Drosophila melanogaster: one gene and its partners. The protein of the gene in region 3 interacts with the protein of the main gene of each other region in a pairwise test. Each region holds a gene or a part of one and is shown on either strand. Other genes may lie near its edges.

Region 1 (5,860 bases), about 12 Mb from region 3:
CGGCACTTGTGGCAGCTTATAAATGCATTTTCCTGCTTTTCTCGCGGAGCAATTTACGAAATTTACGAATTCCGTGACGTTGTACGGCCGAAACAAGAGTGGTGATGGTCGCAGTAAACGAAGCAGAGAAATGACGAAGAAGCGGACGGTTTGGCTGCCAATTGCTGACTTAGTTAACGACAATTGACGAGCGTGCAGGCAATTTGTGCTCAGCCGTGAGCGCAGCTCTTTGTTTATTAATTTTCCTCACAATATTTGAGATTCTGCCACCAGCTGCTTTCTTTTGCACGCACACTCACTCGCCTCTCACATGCACACTGTCTTTTCGTCTGTGCCCAATGTGGCAACCTGCGGCCACTCTCTCTTCTTTGACTTGCCGAAATCTGGCAACACTCGACAAGAGTACTAACCTTATCGGCCAAACTGAAGTTTTAACTCTGAGCCCACGCGATCGAGTGACTGACTATAGCATTTTGCGGTAGCCCCTATTTATTCAAAATATCTCTCTCTCGCGTCGGCAAGTGAGAAAAAGAAAGACAGAAAGAGAGAGAGAGAGAGTGTGTGCGTGGGAGAAAGACCACTGCTTTTTTTTGAGGGGAGATTTTTTGATAAGGCCTGAGATTTGGATTTTTGAAGGCCCCAGAAATACCGCCTAAGATTTGAACATGCATTTGAAATACCGGTTTGTACATCGACCGCAGGTTACCGTTAGAAATGTTATGCGGGATACATAGTTAAGTTGCATACCCTTTGAGTTACAATCACTAGTTAATAATATCTACGTTATTACCAACACGCACACTTTATCGTAATACCTCCTTGAAGTTTAATTTATACATCAACTTTATCAGTCAAAACTTTGATTTCGTCTGACACTTTTTTCGATTACGATCCGTCGCCAATAATTGCGATAAATCTTATCAAGTCTTTTTGGGATTGGCGCTCAAATTTACAATATGGCCGTACATCCTACTTATGTATGTTTTTTAACTAATTAATCACCACAATGCAAAGTACTCTTTCTTTGTTGAGCCCATATGCACTCACATTTGCACCATGAATCATGTCAGTAGCTCGTTTCATGTAACAATTTCTACTTTGCCAGATTACGATGCGTTCGGAACAGGCAGATAAGAATTCGGCCCATCCAAGAAAGGCCTTGACAGTTCTACCCCAAAATAGAGATATCCTCGTGATATTAGAAGGAACCCAACAATATGCTCGTTCTTATCTTCTTATAGAAATTTGTGAATTCCCGTATCCAATGAAATCATTTTACTTAGTAAAATGATTTGTTAGGCCTTAAAAAAAAACAAAAACACCCGAACTATCAGTACCACAATTTAAGAGAGAACTCGTTATTATTTAACTTTATTAATTATGTATTTCTTTATCAAAAGAGCAGACTTTTTGTTTGTGACTGTCTTCAACATTAGATCCGTCTTTAACATTAGATCAGATCACCTGACACGGGAAACTCTCGTAGACTTTATACAATTCAAAAAAACCAAAATCGTTACTTGACACAAATATCATAACTAATGCATAAAATATGAAATGAGAGATATCTAAAATAGCTTGGCATATTTTCTTGGTAAAATAAATGTGTTAAATACAAAGAATGTAAAATGCAATAAATGATACATATATCAAAAATGGAATACCACGGTTACTTTAAGTGCTAGCATAACAAATTACAATAATAATTCAATATCTAGCCATTCGTTGCACATAATTTGGAGGGTTAAGAGGGTAAACAATGGATGGGAAATGGGCTGGGTTAGTTGCGAATTGGTTTATATGGTTTATAATCCAACATCAGTATTATCGTTTTCGTTAGTATGTAAATACAATTTGATTTTGTTCTATCGTGAATTTCAATTGGAAGCTTTTATGAGTTCTGTCCCACCACCTGCACGTAGTTGGCTGGAAAGAGTCCGTAGCGGTTCTTGCACAATCCCCTCCACCACCCATCGTCGATCTTCTCGATGTGGGTGATCACGTCATCTGGATCAAAGGATATCTCGTCGTCATCCGCCGCCTGGTAGTCGTACAGGGCAATGGCGTGGATTCCGGTGTCCTCCAGATAGTCGGCCAAATTGTCTGAGTTCGCGTAGATTGCCTCCTCGGGAACGGTTGCGGTGCCACTCGGAGCAACAGCCTCTGAAACGGTTCCATTCGTTGGTGGCAAGGGCGAGGCAGCCTTAATCTCGGCCTGGTTCTGGTACAGTGGCTCTTCTTCAACTACTGGCTCAGGATCGGCTTGAGGTTGCGGCTCAGGTTGGACTTGGACTTGGGCGTGGACTTCGGGTTGAGGCGTCGGCACATACACTGGTGATTGCGGCTCACTTCTGGGAGGCGTGTCCACGGTCTCAACCTCAATTTGGGGCACCACATCTGGTGGTGGAGCTGCAGCCTTGGCCACTGGAGCTGTTTCCGGCTCTCGAGCGGGGACCACTGTCGGAGTAGGAGCAACCGCAGCTGATGTTGTACTTGCCGTTGGCTCCTCCTTTGCTTCTAATTCTATTTTAACAGGCTGCGCCTTGGGAATGATAATGGGTTCCTTTCGTGCTGGAGGGGTTTCAGAAACAGGCGACTGCATCTGGTTAAATGCACTGATAGCATTGCCAATGCCACCGGTCCGACCTGTCTGGATGGCCGCCCTGCTGCCCTTTGGAGGCGGTGCTTCCGTCGAGGTACGAGGAGTGTTCTCGGCCACAGTCTTCTTGGCGGCTTCCTCCCGATCCCGCTTGTCCTTGGCCTCACGGAGACGTTTCTGTTCCTCGGCCCGCTTACGTGACTCCTCCTCGGAGTTTTTAGCCAGATTCTCGAACTTGGCACGCAAATTGGAAGGCTTGGCACCTTCGATGACTGGCTTGACCTTGTGGTCCACCTGGCTGGCGTGCTTCTGCGGAGCCTCTTTGTGGTCCCATCCCACCGCGGACTTGTCCTTTCGGTCCTCCTGAACGCCAAACTTGCCGCCAAAGCCCTTGGAGTAATCTTATGTTGGGAGAAGATATAAATAAAATAATCAGACATGAACATACTAAGAAAAAATCAATGAGAAATTCATTTCCGTTAGGTAACTTACCCTTCTGAGACTCGTGCTTCTCCACCTTCTCGATGTGATCCCAGCCCACGGCGGATTTATCCACCCGATCGGACTGCACTCCAAATTTGCCTCCGAAGCCGGTGGCGTAATCCTTCTGGGAGGCGTGCTTCTCGACCTTTTCGACGTGGTCCCAGCCCACGGCAGACTTGTCCTTGCGATCCTCTTGCACTCCGAACTTTCCCCCAAAACCATCGCTGTAGTCCTTCTGCGAGGCGTGCTTTCCCACCTTGCCCTGGTAGTCATGACCCACAGCCGACTTGTCCATGCGGTCCTTCTCAACGCCAAACTTGCCCCCGTATCCGTATCCTGCGTTCTGATCCTTCAGCAGCTGCTTCTTCTTGTCCAGATCGGCCTGCTCCGTCTCCTCGCGCAGCTTGTCCATGCTAAAAAGAATAAAGAAAGGGAACAATGAACCCGATACCCAGTGTTTCGAGAATTTCGGATGACTCACTCGATGGTGCCTGCTGTGCGACCGCTGCCGTCGATCGTCTTTGATCCCCAGCGCTGCTCCTGCTCACTGACATCGTTCACGAAGTCCGGATCCGTCTCCCAGTCGTCGTCCTCCGCGGAGGCTGCACTGGTGGCCTGAATCTGGTGACCGGCACTTGCCTTCCACATTCTTTTTACCGGTTTCTGGTCGCTGGTTACTCGCTTATCCTTATCTGCTGGGTAGATAGATAAACACCATGACGAGTGTGAGTAGTCGGGGCAGGTTTTCAGTTGCAGGGGCTCCGCTTCCGATTCGTGGCCCAGATAACAAGTCACAAAACACCGAAGAAGGGAGGGGCCGACAAAGCCGGATCGGGAACAAGATGCCACTGGCGCTCTATGTTCATATGTATACTCACATCCCGATGACTAACTCCTACTGCAAGAGGAACTTATGATCTGATGCCGCTAGGGATGTCTGCAAATTTCTGGGAGGAGAAGGGTTAAACAATTGATTCATAAAGAGACCAACAAACGGGAAACTAACTGAACTAAATTTCATTCGATACAATGGATGCATCGATATGCTACGAAAAGCCGATAAATTATTGTGATGAGCTTGACAAAAGGTAGTTGCTGCAGTTTTAGGGGCGCCCAATTTAAATGATTAAGAGATACAGTCGTGGTTCTTTTACTTTATTCGATAAGTCAATGCACCGATATATACTGCAGTACCAATATATGTGATCGTGATCAATAGAACTGAGTGCTCGGGCAAAAGGTATTTGATGTTATACCAAGTGGCGCCATAGTAATTTGTATAATTAATAAGATTCTGCCAGAACGGTAATTAACAGGTATAAGAGTTGACTTTTTTCATATAACCGCAAACATATCATCGATATATCGATAGTTTTGGATTTGAATTTGCTTCGATGTCGGCTGACAATTAACGTAATTGGTTTTTATATATAGTTATAAAAATACAAATAAAAATAGTTATAAAACGGCTTAGGAAGGAACAGGATATTTATTTAACTGTATTGCCCTAACGGCTGAATATTGAAGTCAAAGGTTACATTTTGAAATTCAATGCGTAATCAGATCTTATTTTCCCAATGTCGTCATTATCACAACGGAAATATCATGAATGTCTCAACAGCTTCCAATGCCGATGATTCATCCATCTCGGAACACTTTAGATTCTACGGTGTATACTATGACGACGCAGAAGATACCAGCTTCCAGTTAGGCGCTACCACCGAATATTTCCTAGCAACAACAACCTATCGCCGGTTGGTTCATCTCTAATCGACTTCCAGCGAGAGAGCGCGAGTATAAAAGCCAAAGACGGAGCGCAAACAGCTATGGTATTTATTCACATCGCTTGCAGTTCGCATCGTCTGACTTGTACGTTGAAAATCGAATATCATTGGTAAATCAAAAGGAATTTGTAGATAAAACTCATTGTTTACTCTCGCTGTGCCAGAAATCGCAAAAAATCAAGCGGAAAATCAGTCGGAAAAGTGAGAAAAGAAAGTGTGTGCTAAACACTCAAAGATAATTTTCATTTGTGCCATTCCAAAATGGGCATTTTGTAGAATTCTAGTTGTGGGTGCGGTATCGCGAGAATTCTCCAGAATCTTGTTTCTCTATTTACTTTATATTTCAATAATAAAAGCCTCGGGTGGGAGAAAAATTCAAAACCGAAAGATGACATCATCAAACTCAAAAGCAAAAGCCCCACTCTTTTGGCGTTTTCTCTCGCGACGCGTGTGACTTTTCTCATCTCCGACGAAATCTAAGTAAACTTTTCTGTTCCTTTCTTGCTTTCCCATTTTACGTAGGAATGAGAAGCGGAATTTTTCGAAATATCTCTATCCCCCAGTGCCCTGCTTAATTTAGTAATTCAATCAACTTCAATTGCCCGACAGGCACTTCAAACTACAGTAAGCACTGTGTATGAGCGCCTGTGCCTTGCTCAGCATTACTCACCGGAATCGGATGTGGCCACATTCCACCGTCCACAAAATATAGTAGTAGTGTACTCGAGGCCGTGCAATTATAGTAGAATAGGTGTGTCATCAAGGTTTATTACTAAGTGAATTGCTCAGTGCATTTGCAAAACATTTTTGAAACATTTCGAGGTACAGTCCATCGAGGTCTCCAAAAGAAGTTGGCAAAAGCTTTTGTTTATGGAGTTTTTCACACATGGTCACGAGCTATTCCAGTTTTTACACCTATATTATAATATCTCTTTTTTAAAGTCGTGCTCAGAGCTTAAAATTGACGTCACAAATCTGGTGAATCACTGAGTGC
Region 2 (5,576 bases), on a different chromosome or scaffold from region 3:
CCCATAGCTCGAGGCTGCCGTCTGCTTGTAAAATCCATCTCCGTTGCTGACGATATCTATGGGTTTGCTGCTGCCCAACGACAAACCAGTTGCCTCGCCGCTATCTCCGCTGCTGCTGCAGTAACTCTCCCGGGTGTTGCTCACGTAGGAGCCCAGTTTCACCTCGACCTTCGGCGGTATCATGTTGCCAAAAAAGGCGGCCACGCTGTTGGGAGTCGTTGATATCTGCGGCTGCTGCTGAGCGCTGGACGCACGGGATGTTTGTGGTGTTCTGGATGACGAAACAAATATAAAAGTTAGATGAAACCTATTTTAAATACGACGCTCAGTTGGCACAAGACCTATCTGAAACGACTGTTGCTTTTTATCAGTAATAAAGGTAATTTACTCATTTCGTATCTCAAGGTTGGTAAGTTTAAACATAAAGATGGCTTCAAAATGAAATGAAATAAACACAATCGTGCTGACTGCAAAAATCTTCATACTTTTTTTTTTTATAAAGAGCTAACAATTAATTTAAATTATTGGCATTGCACAATCGTTTAATGGGCCATATTACCTAAGGGTGCCATTTGAGCCGTTGGTCTCGATTAGCTTCAGCTGATGCATCTTATCGCTTAGCGCCGAATTGAAGTTGCCACGTGGGCCCGAAGAACTCGATGCTCCGCCAGCCGCTACCCGTCCATTGTCGTTGGCCCTTGACCGCGGCGTCGATGGCAGATCCTGTTCTCGTTCCTGCTCCTGGAACTGCTGTTTCTGTTGCTGCTGGAGTTGTAGCTGCTGCTGCTGCTGCTGGAGTTGGAGCTGCTGCTGCTTGCCCAGGATGTTGGAGAAGTGGGGCAGCTTGACGGGCGTGGGCTTGTTGACCACTGGCGGCGGCGCCGTGTGCCCATCCAGATCTTGCTTTGCGGGCTCGATGAGATCGATGCTGCGAATGTCCGTGCACTTGAGGACCACCTCGGCGTTCTGCTTTCGCAGCGGCACGCCATTGCGGAAAGCCCTCACAATGGTGATCTCCTCGGCAGAAATCTGCTTGATCAGGCCCTGGAAGACGCCCAGGACCTCGTCGCAGGCTATAGACACTGCACAGCCGATCCAGTCTTGATCCGTCGGACCCATGTAATCAGTTTTCGATACTCCCTTTGCGAATGCGACAACACGTTGGATCGGCTTGTTCTGCCCTGGCTAATGGTTGTTCGAAATGTTTGCTGGCCCGCGCAGAGCTGCTTGTTGTTTTCGTTTCTAATACGCAATTTCGCCACTAACTAACTACGCACCACGCACCTCTCTTCCTCTTCTTCCTGCTGCTGCACCGCCGTTGATTCTAGTGTTTTGTGGCTTAAAGTCGGGTGTTTTTGAATTATTTGGCTCTGCGGTCAAGGGGTTCGGTATTTTGTCTCTTTTAATCAATAAATGCACCAACCGTTGCAACACATTGACGCTAAAACTTATTGGATTTCTCGTTTCATTGGGATTTTCACTGCTTGCGTGTGGCCGTTCGTTGGTGTTCAGATAATACCGAACAATACCCAAACTAGCTGCGTGGCAAATTAGTTTACTTAATAAATTTATAATAATATACATATTTATAATAACTACAAATTTCATGCTTTACGGAAACTTCACCTTATTTTGATAAATATTTGGTTCAATAAAAGCCTGCGAGCCATTTTATGAATTTAACAAGTGCTTCCCTTAACTGTTAAGGCTTCTGGGTGCTGTGGTATGTTCTCAGTGCGCGTACACGGTCACTCTGGCAGTTTTGTTCTCGATTTTGTCGCCGTTTTGTGCATTTTTCCCGTCCGGTGTTTAAATTTTATTTAATACTGCGCGTGCGACATATATACAGGCACCTATAGCCGACCGATATCGGCGATTAAGGCATGTGCGCCGCCGAAGCGGTCAAAGTGATAATCGCTTGAATAGTGAGCAGTGTAGAATTTGCCGTGTGATAGAAGTACGTGATGATTTTCCGCAAATAGTGGATAAAGGCGAGCCCACACGCATACCACCGCAAAATATATACATAAATCGGGCGAAAATATAGTGGCCCGTGTTTGTGCGTGTGTAAACGTAAGTGGAAAACTTGGGCGAAACTTTATGCTAACCATAAATGGTCTACAAAGACATGGCTTCGCGCCTGGCTAATTATCAAGAAAATGTTTGGCTTTTGTGCTCTATCACCCACACCTCATTCACACAACACACACACTAGAAACACGCTTGCACGGGGGCAGGGCGGCAGACAGAGATGGCATCTAGCACAAGTACCGTTGTTCACTTTGTTTGCTGTCTTTGTTGTCTGTTCGCTTTTCTTTCCTTCGCTTCTGTACACCCTTCCCCCTCTTGTTACCTTATGGCAGCCTCCTCTTCTTCTTCTTCGTGTCATTTATCGCTTAATTTGCACTTCCGCTTTGCACATATTCACCCTCTCTCCTTCCGTCATTCTTTCATTGCAGAAGCTTCTCTAAAAGAAACAAACAACAACAACACAACAATGTCGGCACGTTCCAGCGGCTTGGTGGCCGCGGCGGCCCTTCCCGTCCCGTCGTCTTCTTCCTCGGTGGCCGGCGGCGACGTGCCACGCCCGCCGCCCCGCCGGCGAGCGGCCTCTGTTGCGGGACAACAGCAAACGCGCCAGGAATTTGGAAATGGTTACACTCCTCGCAGATCGTTGGCAGCAGTGGTAAGTTTACATAAGTGCAGGTGACGACGAAAAGAGAGAGCTTTACCTTGAAGGACAACTTAGGAACTCTTCTAACATCTTAGGAATTTTGTAGGAGCACCTTATGGTTACAACCTTATTTCACAACGCATCCAACTCTGATTGAAAAATTTCATTCCATTTTTGATAAAGCCAGTTAACTAATTATGGGTTATATAAACGCGTATGTATCAAATTAAGTTATCATAACACCAAATAGTGACCGTGGCACCTATATGTTTATCAATTTTTAATAGATAGTAAGGTATTACTTACTATGACATCTTATAAGATACTCTTATCAATTGTTTTGGTTTCGTTGCAAACTGACTAATCAATAAATGTATCTCATTTTAAAGGGCATACCGAAATGTTGTCTTATCAAAACTAAGCCAACCAATTCCTATAACCTTTTATAAGGAATTGCCCACAATGTATCCACCATTTTGTTGGTGTGAAGATTTGAAAAGTATTTATCAACGGGTGGTGCTGGGGGATTTGGTCGCCCTTATCAGTGCCTCCGCTGTATTTAGTGTTTCCATTTTTACGATGTTTTCACTACTAATCTAATCTGCAGATTGCCAAACAGCTGAGTCGTGTAGATGGGCCATGTAGATTTCACTCCCCTCATGGATGATAAAGTGGGATATATGTATGGTGGGAAAAGTAGGGGATCTACAATTCCTTCAGAAGCCGAAAAGCACGAAAAACTTACGAACTGTTCTTATCCAATACCTAGCTTTTACGGTGTAAAGGTCGTTGCATTTCGTCAACCATTAAGTTAGATGTAGTTGTATTTCAGGAGTGACTTCCATAAGTCTTTTTTTAGGAGGGCCTTTAATACAGCACATTACATTTTATCGTTTAGTCATTGTTTGCTTGTACCAATTACTTTATAATGTTAAAGAAAAAGTAGCTTTTTTGCGGATTTTTTAAAATCGAATAACATTTCTTGACTTGCACTTTCCGAAGAGCAGAAAAGTGCCAAGAAAAGTATTAGGAAGCCGCCAGAAAATAAACTGGCATCATCGTTGTTTACTTAGTGTCTGGAATGGGCTTTTCTATTGTTTTGCTCACTTGTATAAACAAATAATTCGCTCGCCATCTCAGGCCGAACGGAAACTAAACTAATTTATTTATCTTAATTTGCCAAAGATGCTAGCCACTTGAGCAGTCATCGGCATCTTCGAAGCTAATTTAATTTATCAACACAATTCTTGGCCGCCGCCTCTTGAATGTTGTGTGTCTACACTTTATGGTTTTCTGGCTGCACAGAGAGAAAAATATTGTTTTAACTTTTAATACCTAGGCTATGTTTAATGGTTTATAAAAGTATTTTAATTTCTAACAGAACTCGCAGAATTATATTATTCATAGTTTCTAAACGTATTATGAACTGACATTTTGTTTTGTGTTTCTTTTACTTTCTTTTTTAGTATCCCAGTGTTGGTTGTTTGCTCTGTTTGCTTTCACTCAATGAGCGATTATTTGACGGCACTTCAATTCTGTTTGTCGAACTCATTGAAGCGTTGTCAGAATGGCTCGAAATTCCTGTCCAAAAAGTGGGAGGTGTATGAATGAATGGCTTATCTTCATTAGTGCTTTTTTTGCCGCAAAAGTTGTATGCCCCCGCTAATTGAGCTCTGTTATTTGGGTTATTTAATCCAATTTGCACGTCAGCCGGCAAGCGGTGACGTCGGCCAATCGACGCACTTGTAAGAACAGTCGACGTCACAATTGCCTTAGCGGATAGCCTTAATGGGCCGCTTATCAGTCAACAGCTGGTCAATTACATCCATTGAATCCATTGCGTCAGCAGTCAGAACATTCTCATGTCTATTATAAGTGATTATACGCTATTTAGCTGAACATTATTAATGGAATTGGAGGGATTCCCAGCCCAAAATACAAATTTCACACAGATACGCACGCACACATAGATAGTCCACTCACATCAACGCACGGCGCAGCCGATCAGCTGTTTTTGTTTTGTTTTGCTTAAAGACACTTGTTCGATGGCAGCTGTCAACAGTGGGAGTGAGAAAACGCGAGAGGAAGACAAAAAGAGTACAGGGCTAAGCTGTCATTTTAAAAAGCTTTCAGCCAACAGCTTGTAGCTGGGGCTTCAGTGTTGAAAAATGTGTTCAGTACTGTTTTGGTATTTTTTTTTTAAGATTAAAAACTTTCCTTTTTATGGTTAATTGGAGCACTTTTTGTGACAATTCATTAAAATATCTATGCATGAGTATTGCAAGTCCACTTCGTATTTTGCTTTTTAATATATTAATATTAGAATTTTTCCCGGAGAAGCCGACCATGAGGTAAATAATTTACTCCGTTCCATCGGTCACACTAGACCCAATGAAAGCTCCGCAATGGGGCAACCTCTTGGCCCGAACGCGCTGGCCACACTTTTCAGTGGAGCTGCCTTCATTTTAGCTTAGAACGCGAAAGCGCCAAGTTCCGTGTTTTGCGCTGCGGCTGCCGACAAGTGTTGCTGTTGCTGTTGCGCTCGCACCCACGACCGCACACACACTCGCTGCGGGAGCGAGCGAGAGAGGCAGACATTTACGCAGAACATGTTTTCGCAATAGTGTTGGTGTGCCGTTTGTTATTGTTGTTATTGTTTCCATCGTTTAGGGCCGTTAATAAAAGATAAATAAGTGAATAATTGAATTATAAATATTGTAGAGTGTACCGCCACACACACACAAATCGCTGGATTATATAGATAAATTTATTGCACAGTACCCCTGAAATGTGTTAATTATATAAAAAAAAAAGCAGTAAATAAGCGTACGTACCGTAAAGCAACAGTTCTCGCTCGGCACAATCGAGAAATCTCGAAATCACATCAAATGCAGAAGCATTT
Region 3 (6,458 bases):
TTATACTACGCGCCTATCCATCCGGCTGTTTTCCCCCATTTCTCTCGTTTGTCATTAATCACGTTTAATATGCAATTCTATGCTGTAAAGAGGAAAATAATTGCAACAATAAAATAAATATAAACAACAGCGGGAGTGGCAACCCAAATCCGTTGTAATCTTCATATCCGGAGTGTCGTTGTCTGTGAATTCTGCAATTGGACTCTCCAGTTACACATTTTCCCCTCGGGGATCACTTTTTGCATCATCATTATGGATGGATGGAGCCTCTTTATAGAGAGTTTCTGTATAATGTGGAGTTCGTTTTTTAGTGGGGGGTTGGTTTGGTATATAGGAAGTGCGGGTTAAACGGGAGTCTGCCACTCAGTCACTTCCTTGTTTGACATTTTAATTGCAATGTTGATGGATTTCACTGTTGACACTTTCCTTTTTCACCCCATTAATGAATAATGAACGTTTAGTCTGCAAATTTACTAGCTAGCCAGGCCGCAAAGTTAAATTTGCCTTTCGTGCATACATACAGATATAGTAAATTAACAATAAGATTCCTAAAAGAACATTTTACTTAACAATTATGAAATACTTTCGGTTAAATGCCCTTTTAGCTTTCCCACTGATTTCTTTTGTGTTTCGGACCGTAGTAAATTGTCTGTAAAAAGTCGTGGCCAAGTTAAGTATCATAACTAGAACGTCTTCCGTTCAACACCTCATTAGGCGAACTTTTCAACAGAGGCCGAAAACGACTTTTAATTGTGCCCACTGGACATACACAACCCCTGAAATTTTTTTCTGGCGGGAAGCACAATTGTCCAGAGGGTGAACATGATAAATGCCTTAAATAATGTTCTTTTGCCACCAGAAAATATCCAAGACATGACCAAACTCTAGTGGAGCAATTAAGTGCCAGACCAACTGAAAATGTCATTTAACATTTGTCAGGTAAAAATAAAAGTAAAGCACTCAAATAAAAAACAGCAACAAGTTGCAGACTAATTAAATAATTGAAACATTTTACGTGGGAGTCGCAAAGACACAATGACAAAGAACTAAATGTGTGTGCAAACGAAAAGCCAAACAAATAAAGACATAAGAAAAACGATTCTACAATGTCGCAATTCGACTATGCCTGCTATACGGTGCCCGAGTGTTCCACGGATGATGATGATGATAATGACGATGAGCTGGGCAGTAATGTGACCCTGGAGAACAAGGATCATTCGGATTGCACCCTGGAATCGGATGCTACGACCACCACATCTTCACTGGAGCGTCATATGTATAGGAATCGGTATCGCTCTAATAGAAGTTTCGGACCACAGAGGGTTTCCATGCCCATTCTCAGATCCAGTCGATCCAGGGAGATGACGCCCCAGTTGGGCATGTATCATGAGGGACCGAATCGAGATCCCCAATGGGGTTACTTTGTACCCCTGTCGCCCAACTTCTTCTTTAGTCCACCGATGCAGAGGAGGCGTTATAGGTAGATTTACATTGTGTTTAGTACTTAAAACATATTTAGTTCTATTATTATCAAGTAAAACATACATTGAAAATTCTAATAAATTAAATTTAAATTTCCTTTCAGGGAAAAGGAAAACGATCGCAATCGTCGCGCTGTTAGTTATGGCGGTGACGCCACCTCCTCCCCCCATTCGGCCACCATACCCCGCGCCGCCCCCCGTCGGGTGGCCTTGATGAAGGATCCACCGCCACCGCCGCCACCCAAGCCGCAATTGGGTTCCAAAGCGGATTCTGTATCGCATTTGGCCAGCAAATATCCCCAATCCGAGTACAATCTCATACAGAAAATCGACTCGAACAGCACACTCACTGCTCCGGCGCAATATCAACCGCAGAATTTCTACGCTAATACTGGCACCATATCCTCTACGAATGGCTACGGATCGCTGTTATGTCACGCCAGTTCGACGACCAGTCCGCTGGCGGTCCGGAAGAGGGACAAACTGCTTCATCGCTTCAGCGATGCCGCCACCTTGGGCCGGAAGCTCAAGAAGAAGAAGAACACGAATCGCACCTGCAGATCCATGACGGAGGCCATTGAGATGCTGGCCGATCCCGTCATCGAAGATGAATTCTTTGTAAGTACAATGATTTATGCAAAGAAAATATACGTATTTCCATGGAATTAGAAACATAAAAATCTTTTGGAGCCTCTTAAAACAAAATAGAGTTTCTCAAACCATTTTTTGTCATAACATCATAGAACTTGATTGATATGTATTAAATATTTGGGTGTGGTTTTAAAATAGCTCGAGGTTCATCGTTCAAACCTTTTCATTCTTGGTTTTTTCCCCCAAACATCTGCCCCATTTCACAATTTACGCTTTTAAGGGGTGTATTTGTTTGGCTTAAGCCCCTCATTTCGTCTCATTTCACTTGGGCTCTGCTCAGCTCAGTCCAAGCTTTATCGCAATCACTTTTGTTCTTGTATTCTTCTCCGGCTGGAAACGCTATCCATTGGAAAATGTTCTCGTGTCCGATAGGCTCTTCAAATTCATTGAATTCATTTCAGTTTAGTTCGTATTTGAGCCTCGTCGCGATTGAAACGAAAAGAAATCCACACCAAAAATAAACGATTTTCGTAGGCGGAAGTGTTAGAAAGACAAACCTCAAACAGATAAGGTGGAAATAATAGGAAGTTGACAGATTGAAACTGAGAAGGGCCATTGAATTAAGTGGAGTGACAGAAGTGATAAAAGAAAGGGAAAATTTGAATATATTAAACAAGAAAAATGTGCACTTAGACAGAGGGATTTATATTTGGCCACATCTTTTCCACTTAGTTTTTAACTATAAATTTGGATATTATATTTATGATCCCTGTAAGATAACCTTGAAAGTATTTTCCGACGGCTGAACTCAATTCGCAATCATTAAGTGAAAAAGGGGCGTCAATAATACTATCAAAAGTTCAATAGACCGCACATTCATTGACCCAATCGGGGTACCTTTGAGTTTTTGCAATGTTTTGAGCTTGTAAATTGGTATTGGGGTCGATCAGGGCTAAGCCACAATTATTTGCCAAATCAGTCTTTAATTAACGAACTCAGAGTTGACAGATTAGCATGGCTCTCTTTCTCTCTATTCTCCATTCTGTCTCATCCATATGACAGCTCGGTTGACAGTTCAGGAAGACGAATGTGTCTAACAAAACAAGTGACTCGCAAACTGTGTCAATACTTTGGGTTCGAAAAACAATTTACCTTGCGCAAAGACGACGGCTCGAAAGGTGAACCCCGGCTAATTGGATTGGCAGTGCGTGCCTTCCAGCAAACAACAGAAAAGCAGAAAAAGTTGTTGCAATAAAATCAAACAATTGCAGTGGAAAATCGAACGTGCAGTGTGCCGAACGTGTTGGTCGCGTAAAACCCTTAAAAAATCGGTTATTTTCAATATAGTTTATAGGGTTTATCTCTTTTTTATTGGCCTCTCTCAGGCGTTTTTAAAAACACAAATGTTGCCTGCTTTTGTGCGCTGTTAAACAAGAACGCCATGAAAAATAATTCAACCATATCTATAGCATACTTTTACGCGGTCGAAAATTACATTTGAAAAAGAACAAAAAGTCTCTAAATTAACTCAACACCCTTGAAACACTAATCTGGTTTTATTTTTTTTTTTTTTATATATTTCCAAAGGAAAAAAATATAATTTTGCGTGATCTAATTTTACATGTAATCATAAAACATTCTATCGTCAGTCTAAAGACAGTGTAGATTTTATGTAAAATTAGCCAAGTGAACCTTAAAATTTTTGTTGTTTTTGTTGATTTATTTTATGGTTTTAGTTTGCAACAAATTGAATTTTTTAAAGAACAAAACATAAGTTTCTCACAAAAAAAAAATAATACTTTGGTTTCGACCGTGACAGGACTCGAACCTGCAATCTTCGGATCCGAAGTCCGACGCCTTATCCATTAGGCCACACGGTCGCTTGTTCCAAGCACGCTTAAACTCGAAAACATTTGATACGTGTGCAAGCAACCTACAGCACAAGGGTGGATTTTCTGTAGAGCAAACATTCTGTTATCGCGGGGTGCAAATACAAACGAACAAAAACGAAAATTAAATACAACAAAAATATGAAGCCCAGCACGCGACGTCGCAGTTTCAAAACGAAACCCCCCAAATCGAATGTATATAACCCACTCGTTCGCTATCGCCCGACAGCCTATGTCCGAAATGGAATTATTGGCGGCGCCGAGGGTCCCGGCTCGAGTGGAGTGTACCAAATCGCGGATAGGGTCTATACCACCAGCAAGATGTTTCTACGCGATGGCTATATGTACCCGCGTCAACCGGGTCAGACCATGGATCCCCGTTTCCCCCTCGAGTTGCACGAATTCCCTCAGCAATTCGGCGCCACTGGCCTGCAGTTGGTTAGTGCACCCAAGGTTCATATAGCCGGCGAATATCTGGCCAGTGAACAACAGCAGCAGCAGCAACAACAGCAGCAGCAGCATCAACAGGTGCAGGAGCAACAACAATTGGGCAGAAGAAAGGCTGCGGCAGCCGCCGAAATAAATTTGGCAAATCAGGTTTACTGGCTGGGCAAGCAAAAGACCAGATCCCGATCGCGTAGCAATAGTGTGGGCAATCGGAGCATAACCAGCTGCATGGGCGGCGGTGGAGGGGGTGGCGAAAAGGAAAGGGAACGCGGCGGGGATCGAGATCGCCCCTATATACGCAACGTTGACGATCTTCTCCAGGCACTGGGCAAAAGGGATGGGGGGGATAACAACAGCAATCTGCTCGAAACTGCATCGACGCACTCCTCATCGCAGCGAAGGCGCTTCAAGAAGGTGAGATACAGACTTACAAAGTGTGATAAATGCAACCAAATGCCCTCAAATCTCATTTTCATAAAATAAATAAAAAAAATTCTGGATACAAAAGAAAAAAGTTAATTTTACGACCGTGACAGGACTCGAACCTGCAATCTTCGGATCCGAAGTCCGACGCCTTATCCATTAGGCCACACGGTCAGTTGGCAACTCTGAAAAATATGACTAACATAAAGACGGGCTTTACAAATAATTTAGTTCACCGTTAACAGTTGCTAAATCGTTTTTTATCCGAATACCTCATTTGAGATTATAAATCTAGAACTCTACGTTAAAAACAGTAAATATAAAAATCTTTATGACAGGACTTAAAGTTGGTTATTTTACCCCTCAGATAGAATATATATATTTAAGGGAAATTCCTTGATTTCCTAATATTAAAATTCTTTACGCCATTGAATACCACCACCTCAGCCATCAATCACCGCATTGCATTGCTCTTGGGCAACATCGAAATTTGTCAACTCGCGTTGCAACACTTTCAATTGTCGCTGTGGCACCTTTTTTTTCCATTTGGCCACCTTAATTACATTCGTGGATGTATGTATGGAGGTAGTGTGGCTCGTTCCGCCAGGTCATCATCAGTCATCACTCGTGGCTTGTCTGCAGTGTCCAGAATGGAGGCAGTGAAGCCTACCGCCCCTGGGGTGCGTCTGCGCAAAAATTAAAATTAATGATGTTCAAAATTTCGCTTGGGGCCATTAATGGAAATGGGATGAAGAAATAAACGAGGTGAGAGATTGGCAAAGGCGAAATGGAGATGAAAGGAAGGGGAGAGCTGGTGGTCAGACGGTAGCTGCTAATTTGGCATCCTCGAACACACCTGCCCCCAAAATGATATTCACTGCGGCCTTTCAATTTCTCAAAAAGTTTCAAAGTCAAAGCTCGGCTGCGGTTCCTTTTACCTCTTTCATTTCAGGCCCTTTTTCTTTTGCTGACCATTTTATGCATTTTTAGCCGCTGCTGCTCAGGCTTCCATGACGATATAGACTTTTTTTGTCGGTTTGATTTTATTCTTTTGTTTTTCTGTTTCGTTTACGCTATCGTCATTAGTGGATATATATATATGTATATAGTTTTTGTTTTAGCTTAATTCCACATTCGCCTGGGGCACAATTTATGCGCTTCTGTTTCGAATCCAGATTCGGGCTCTGAGGAGCACTTGAGTTTGAGAAATTGGTTTCGTTGATTGTGCCTTTAAACATGGTCAAAACGGTGGGCGAATGTTATTAAGAAGAGTACTTACAAAATAGTTGAAAAGCTAACAAAAAAATCATAAAATATTTTATAATTTTATGTAGATAGAAAATTGAATACAAAATTTAAGTAATTTTTGGTTCATAAACAATTTTCAATCCACACAAACCCAATGTACTTCGCCTCCGCCCATGACTCAACTTCCGACGTGTGTATAAATCCATTTAGAACTCGGATGAAAAAAAATAAATTGCTGTTGGAAACCCAAGCGAAATGAACATAAATTTATCTCTTTAAATTCTTGCTTTAGACTCGGGTCGAATGGGTTAAGACATTTAAGCCAAATTCTGGGGGAAAATGACTTCAGTGTGACTTTCATATGCAAAGTAAACAAAAA

What was found. Proteins that work in one complex are often made in the same cells at the same time.
Region 1: the proteins of pyd (region 3) and Cortactin interact in a two-hybrid assay, tested with the Drosophila melanogaster proteins (one study listed by BioGRID).
Region 2: the proteins of pyd (region 3) and Nedd4 interact in a two-hybrid assay, tested with the Drosophila melanogaster proteins (one study listed by BioGRID).

The regions. Positions count from the first base shown.
Region 1 is NT_033777.3:21,060,335-21,066,194, forward strand, and holds Cortactin (cortactin), read right to left. Parts: upstream 4,138-5,860; 5' UTR 4,089-4,137; exon of another isoform or gene 4,030-4,088; 5' UTR 3,961-4,029; intron 3,778-3,960; exon of another isoform or gene 3,775-3,777; 5' UTR 3,731-3,774; coding exon 3,564-3,730; intron 3,496-3,563; coding exon 3,092-3,495; intron 3,001-3,091; coding exon 1,892-3,000; 3' UTR 1,346-1,891; downstream 1-1,345.
Region 2 is NT_037436.4:17,528,350-17,533,925, forward strand, and holds the start of Nedd4 (Nedd4), read left to right. Parts: upstream 1-1,731; 5' UTR 1,732-2,073; intron 2,074-2,459; 5' UTR 2,460-2,497; coding exon 2,498-2,686; intron 2,687-5,156; exon of another isoform or gene 5,157-5,299; intron 5,300-5,401; exon of another isoform or gene 5,402-5,500; intron 5,501-5,576. Other genes in the region: Edc3 (enhancer of decapping 3), read right to left, coding at 1-271, 560-1,119. UniProt on the Drosophila melanogaster protein: Essential E3 ubiquitin-protein ligase which accepts ubiquitin from an E2 ubiquitin-conjugating enzyme in the form of a thioester and then directly transfers the ubiquitin to targeted substrates.
Region 3 is NT_033777.3:8,860,427-8,866,884, reverse strand, and holds the start of pyd (polychaetoid), read left to right. Parts: upstream 1-2,536; 5' UTR 2,537-2,643; intron 2,644-3,351; exon of another isoform or gene 3,352-3,383; intron 3,384-3,879; exon of another isoform or gene 3,880-3,891; 5' UTR 3,892-4,102; coding exon 4,103-4,822; intron 4,823-4,932; exon of another isoform or gene 4,933-5,005; intron 5,006-6,458.